2 linked regions of the Macaca fascicularis genome follow. The protein of the gene in region 1 binds, or shares a complex with, the protein of each later gene. Links are inferred from orthologs where the notes say so. Each region holds a gene or a part of one and is shown on either strand. Other genes may lie near its edges.

Evidence for each region.
Region 2: CINP (region 1) and AFG2B share a complex: the UniProt entries of both Homo sapiens proteins name them as parts of the 55LCC heterohexameric ATPase complex. The link is inferred for Macaca fascicularis from reciprocal best matches to the Homo sapiens genes CINP and AFG2B.

What each region holds. Positions count from the first base shown.
Region 1 is NC_088381.1:170,470,776-170,474,275, reverse strand, and holds part of CINP (cyclin-dependent kinase 2-interacting protein), read left to right. Parts: intron 1-287; exon of another isoform or gene 288-289; coding exon 290-458; intron 459-934; exon of another isoform or gene 935-1,038; intron 1,039-2,459; coding exon of another isoform or gene 2,460-2,581; intron 2,582-3,500. UniProt on the Homo sapiens protein: Component of the DNA replication complex, which interacts with two kinases, CDK2 and CDC7, thereby providing a functional and physical link between CDK2 and CDC7 during firing of the origins of replication.
Region 2 is NC_088381.1:21,930,022-21,933,521, reverse strand, and holds part of AFG2B (ATPase family gene 2 protein homolog B), read right to left. Parts: coding exon 3,449-3,500; exon of another isoform or gene 3,420-3,448; intron 1,955-3,419; coding exon 1,824-1,954; intron 669-1,823; coding exon 543-668; intron 1-542. UniProt on the Homo sapiens protein: ATP-dependent chaperone part of the 55LCC heterohexameric ATPase complex which is chromatin-associated and promotes replisome proteostasis to maintain replication fork progression and genome stability.

The DNA.
Region 1 (3,500 bases):
AAACTCGGGAGGCGGAGCTTGCAGTGAGCTGAGATCCGGCCACTGCACTCCAGCCTGGGTGACAGAGCAAGACTCCGTCTCAAAAAAAAAAAAAAAAAAAAAAAATATTCTATGTTGTCTTCTTCCAGGAACCTTCACATTCATTCAGACTTTGTAGTTTCCACATTTATTTGTCCAGTTGATACAGCATTTGAGATAGTTTTACTGTTGAAAATTATGAGGACATTTGCCCTCCAACTATGATTGTATATTCCATGATAATAATTTTGTTTCTTTTATACCCTATCAGCAAAGACTGTTGGAATTGTAACGCCCAGAAAACCTGTCTTATCTGTCAGTGCAAGAAAAATTAAGGACAATGCGGCTGATTGGCATAATTTAATCCTGAAGTGGGAAACCCTCAGTGATGCAGGTTTTACCGCTGCAAATAATATTGCCAACTTGAAAATCAGTTTATTGTAAGTACATATTGGTTTTTCATGCTCTAAGTTTTTCACCCTTAATAACTGGGGAAATATCAACATGAATAAATTTGAAAATAAAATATTAAGCAAAAAAAGCAAGTGGTAAGATGACACATGAGACAAAATTATATTCCTTTTTTTTTTTTTTTTTTTTTTTTGAGATGAAGTCTCACTCTGTTGCCCAGGCTGGAGTGCGATGGCGCAATCTTGGCTAACTGCAACCTCCACCACCTGGGTTCAAGTGATTCTCCTGCCTCAGCCTCTGGACTAGCTGGGATTACAGGCGCCTGTCACCACACCCGGCTAATTACTGTATTTTTAGTAGAGTCGGGGTTTCACCATGTTAGTCAGGATGGTCTCGAACTCCTGACCTCACATGATCCACCTTCCTCAGCCTCCCAAAGTGCTGGAATTACAAGTGTGAGCCACCACGCCTGGCTATTCTGATTTTTAAAACCATAGATTCTTTGATTCTTTTGTAGTTCATAGGCGTGATGATTGGGTTTTCATGCTCATGTATGACCTGTGCCTTCCTCAAACTTTGCTATGATGTTGACACAGTATGTAGCTGATATGGAAAAAACTACCATGGATTCTTTTTGTCCATTTTTTGATTTTACATAAACAAAAAACATATGTTAGTGTTTCCTTTATGTCTCGCTTTCTTTTTCTATTTTTATTTTTGGAGATGAGTCTCACTCTATCCCCCAGGCTGGAGTGCAATGGTACGATCTCAGCTCACTGCAACCTCTGCCTCCCAGGTTCAAGCAATTCTGCTGCATCAGCCTCCTGAGTAGCTGGAATTACAGGTGCCTGCCACCAAGCTCAGCTAATTTTTGTATTTTTTGTAGAGACCGAGTTTCACCATGTTGGCCAGGTTGGTCTCGAGCTCTTGACCTCAGGTGATCCGCCCACCTCAGCCTCCCTAAGTGCTGGGATTATAGGTGTAAGCCACTGCACCCAGCCATGTCTCACTGTCTTTCAACATGGAAGCCATCCATGTAATGTAGAGCCACTATTCTGGTTCTGTTCTTTCTCATTGCTGTTTAATAGTGTTTACCCACATTAGACCTCTCAAACTCTGCCACTGGTTTATCAACTAAGTTATGTAATGTTCTCAATCTTTTGTTGTCATTTCAGCAATGTGCACAGCATCTTTCCCAGGAATAGGTTCCATCTCAAGAAACCACCTTCTTTGCTCATCCATAAGAAACAACTCCTCGTCTGTTCAAGTTTTCTCATGAGATTGCAGCAATTCAGTCCCATCTTCAGACCCCACTTCTAGTTCTGCTTCTCTTGCTTTTTCCACTGGCAGAGTAGATTTAACATCATTCTTAAGGGCCCTAGGAGTTTGAGAATGGTAGATGAGCACTGGATTCAACTTAAAGTCACTAACTGCAATATCCCCTAACGAGAGGGTCAACCTGTCTCTTGAAGCTTTGAAGCCTGTCATTGACTTCTCTGTAGTTGTGAATGTCTTGGATGACATGTTCTTCTAATAGAAGGCTGTTTCATCTACATTGACAATCTGTCATATCGTGTAGCTACCTTCATCATTGATCTTAAGTAGATCCTCTGGATAACTTGCTCCAGCTTCTACATTAGTGCTTGCAGCTTCACCTTGCACTTTTATGTTATAGAGATGGCTTTTGTCCTTAAACCTCATGAACCAAATCCTGTTAGTCTCAAATTTTTCTTCTGTAACTTCCTCATGTCTCTCAGCCTTCACAGAATTGAAGAGAGTGAGGGTCCTGCTCCGGATTAGGCTTTGACTTAAGGGAATGCTGTGTCTGTTTTGCTCTTCTGTGCAGACCCCTCAAACTTTCTCCATATCCACGCTAAGGCTGTTTCACTCATCATTCACATGTTCACTGGAGTAGCACCTTTAATTTTCTTCAATAACTTCTCTTTTGCCTTCACAACTTGGCCAACTGTTTGACACAAGAGGCCTAGCTTTTGGCTTATCTTAGCCTTTTTTTTTTTTTTTTTGTACAGATGGAGTCTCGCTCTGTCGCTCAGGCTGGAGTGCAATGGTGCAATCTTGGCTCACTGCAACCTCCGCCTCCTGGGTTCAAGCAATTCTCCTGCCTCTGCCTCTCGAGTAGCTGGGACTACAGGTGCATGCTGCCACGCCCGGCTAATTTCTTTTGTATTTTAGTAGAAATGGGGTTTCACCATGTGGCCCAGGCTGGTCTTGAAATCCTGAGCTCAGGCAATCCACCCGCCTCGGCCTCCCAAAGTGCTAGGATTACAGGCGTGAGCCCCCGCACCTGGCTCCTTATCTCAGCTTTTGACATGCCTTCCTCACTAAGCTTGATCATTTCCAGCTTTTAATTTTTTTGTTTCTTAAATTGGCCAAAGTATAGCTTTTGATTTAAAATGAGAGATATGCAACTCTTCCTTTCACTTGTACATTTAGTGGCCAATGTAGGGCTATTAATTGGCTTGATTTCAATATCCTCCTATTTCAGGAAATAGGGAGGCCCAAGGAGATGGGGAGAAATGGGAGCAGCCAGTCAGTGGAGCAGTCAGAACACACAACATTCATTCATTAAGCTCGCTGTTACATGTGAACATGGTTCATGGCACCTCAAAACAATTAAACTAGTAATATCAAAGATTATCAATCAAAGATCGTAGATATAATAATGAAAAAGTTGGCCGGGCGCGGTGGCTCAAGCCTGTAATCCCAGCACTTTGGGAGGCCGAGGCGGGCGGATCACAAGGTCAGGAGATCGAGACCACAGTGAAACCCCGTCTCTACTAAAAATACAAAAAATTAGCCGGGCGCGGTGGCGGGCGCCTGTAGTCCCAGCTACTCAGGAGGCTGAGGCAGGAGAATGGCGGGAACCCGGGAGGCGGAGCTTGCAGTGAGCCGAGATTGCGCCACTGCACTGCAGCCTGGGCAACAGCGTGAGACTCCGTCTCAAAAAAAAAAAAAAAAAGAAAAAGTTTGAAGTATTGTAAGAATTACCAAAATATGATACAGAGACATGAAGTAAGCACATACTATTGGGAAAAATGGCGCTGGTTGAT
Region 2 (3,500 bases), about 150 Mb from region 1:
CAGGCAGAAGTACAGTGACATAATCATGGCTCACTACAGCCTTGACCTCCAGGCTCAAGTGATCCTCCCACCTCAGCTTCCTGAGTAGCCGGGACAATTAAAAAAAAATTTTTATAGAGACAGGGGCTCCCCATGTTGCCCAGGCTGGTCTCAACTCCTGGGCTCAGATGATCCTCCTGCCTTGGCCCCAACAAAGTGCTGGGATTACAGGCATGAGTCACTAAGCCCAGCCAATAGTTCTCTTTCAGAAGAAGGTAGGTGACAGAGGTTGGGAAAGGACCCAAAGGAAGATTCTGGGGTGTTGATAATGTTCTATTCCCTGACATAAGTAGTGATTATAAAAATGTGATCATTTAATTCAATGAACTGTACCCTTATGATCTGTGCATTTTTCTGAATGTTATATTTAGTAAAAGTTTACGAAAAACTTTTTTTCGTAAGCCTGTACCACAAAGGCTTTTAGTAAATACTGCTGAGTGAATGAAGATTTGAAAAGATGAAGAAATGTTTTGAACCACAAATTTCTTCACTAATTAACTTACTTCTGTGCAGAGGTTTCTAAGATCAGCTCCAGAAAAAAAACAGGTTTCTGCTGCTAGGTTTTCTAAGGAGACATCAGGACCTATTGGCATGTTTTTTGTACAGACTTCTAAAATAGAAAGCCTGCCCTGGAACAAAATAAAAAACAGTATTTTAAATCTTATAACATTTATGTTTGACACAATGATTTATTAAAATATTTTTAGCTTGAGTTTTCTTTCACATTACCGAGAAAGTATATACAGAGGTTAGAAGGACTAAGTCATCAATGGCCCATATGACAATGGTAAAAATCATGACATCATAAAAAACTTATGAATCTCTCTCTTTTTTTTGAGATGGAGTCTTGCTCTGTCGCCCAGGCTGGAGTGCAGTGGCACGATCTTGGCTCACTACAACCTCTGCCTCCCGGGTTCAAGTGATTCTCCTGCCTTGGCCTCCCGAGTAGCTGCGATTACAGGAGCCTGCCACCACACCCAGCTAATTTTTGTATTTTTAGTAGAGACGGGGTTTCACCATGTTGGCCAAGCTAGTCTCGAACTCCTGATCTCAGGTGATCTGCCCATCTTGGCCTCCCAAAGTGTGGGATTATAGATGTGAGCCACCACGCCCAGCTGAATCTCTCTTTTGGGTACAAATAATACTATTAGACATGGCTTAAGAAGCAAATACATGAATTATCAGATATAACTTAAAGGTATAACAGATAATAAATTTTATTTTTCTATCCCTTCAAAACTTGATAAAAGCTCAAGGAACAAAAAAATTCACTCTGTGCCTTTCACCTTGCCTGTCAGTGGCTCTGGATGTTAACGACAAAAAATGTACTGGTTGACCATGATACACTGCATAATCTCTGATATCTCAGGTTTCTGCACTGTACTTTAAGGACAACAAATTTACTGGTTGACCACGATACACATCATAATCTCTGTGATTTCCGACTTCTGCACTGTACTATAAGGATGCTGACTCAATCTTCAAAGCTCTTTTAACACTTTACGATTCCTCTACTCTAGCTGCAAAATAATGCTGAGTTGACTCCGTATTTAGAGTCTGCCACAACACATACAATAACCACCTTATATTTAGGCTTATGTTTCTCTGTGAACAGGATCAGAGTATCCAACAAAGGCAGATCAAAATTATAATGCAATGAAAGGAAGGAAGGAAGGCAAGGAAGAAGGTGGAACCCAGAGTGAGTAGAACACCATGGACACCTATATCCAGACTGGAATTCCATTCTGCTGAGCTCACACACAGTAAATGTTTACAATGATTACCTTGTGATCTGGAGGTGGGATATAGATGATCTTATCTAATCTTCCAGGTCGTAACAAAGCAGTATCTAACACATCAGGTCTATTTGTTGCTGCAACAATCATGACACTTCGGTTAAAAACTTCCTGAAACTCTGAGGGCAAACACAACAAAAAGTAATTTCAATCAGTTGTTAGTAAGTTTTTAAAAAATTATAAATCAGAAGGTCTATTTAAATTGAAATAGGGATATCCTTTTCTTGGGACCAGAATGCTTATATCCCCTTTCCAGACCAGCTTCTTGATATCAAGATATCCCAGAAACGAATAATTAATCGAAGAAGTACTTTGTGTGCATGGCTAAGGGAGTACCTAAGAGAGATTCTCCGTATGAAAACTTATGAAAAGCCTTATCCCAAAGAGGAGAACACTCATCTGGTGACTTGAGTGCACCTGAGCCTCCAATGAAGGCTTACACCTTAAACGGGCTATTTGAAAAGACAGATATGTATGACCAACAGGTGGAGATATATGGTTACAGAAAAGTCTTGACTCTCATATCCCTAAAGAGTCGAAGATTTACTGGACTTTTTATTTGTCTGCGAAATGACAATCTAAGTTGCAGGTATGCAAATCCTGGATAAAGAAATGTCTAAAAGCAGACAGAGAAAGGCTTTACATATACTAAGCATTCAAAATCATTTGTTGAATAATCAGGCAACTCTCCAGTGACGTAATCCCTCAAAGTACTAAGTTCCCTATGTTTGCAAGTATTTTAGCAGATGATGGGTGAATACCTGTCAGATGTTACAGAAGGAATTCCTGTATTATGGAATGATTTGATTAGATAACCTCGTGGGTACCTCCTAATTCTAGTATGACATGTTCCTAAGGAGTATATGCAACAATCCCATGCAACAATTTTAAAAATAGGAAATGAGTGACAACAAGAGAGGAAGAAAAGAAAAGTATCAGGGATAATTTAAGGATACCAAACTCTGGAGAAGAGACTCAGAAAGAGAGGGAGGGGACTTCCAAAGGCCATTTTAATTCATTAAAACCAAAGAAACCCATTTCTCAAGAAAACTGGAAATTTTCCATACTAAGACTATTGGAAATATTATCCTTTGTCATTCATTCATTCATTCATTCATTCATTCATTCATTCATAGATGGGGCCTTGCAATGTTGGCCAGGCTAGTCTCAAACTCCTGGCCTCAAGCAATCCTTCTGTCTTGGCCTTCCAAAGTGCTGGGATAACAGAGGTGTGCCACTGTGCCCAGCCTACATAAACATTTTTAGAAATAAATGAATACTGGTTTCTTAGGACACGGAAACAAGAATAAACTGCCTTCTCTATTAGCAATAAGAAAATTGTATTTCTCATTCTTAGGAAAAATAAAATTTACATTCTTATATTTAAGATAACTTATTATAAGATGTACCTCACCTTTTATAGCCAAATCACAATTTTTATTAGCTCTAAAAGCCCTAACAAAGTCAAACTGAAATTATAATAAATCCTTCTACGATATGAATTCAGCGTAAGTAAAGCTATAGCATATATGCATTCTATTTAATGTTGGCCTGGATTTTAGGTGCATTCTGGCTAATAAATACCTCTTCATTTTTCAGCTCCTTGTATTTACCCTGTTGACTTGATTTACTTCCTCTTCTCTCTATTGTCTTAAGTCCAACACC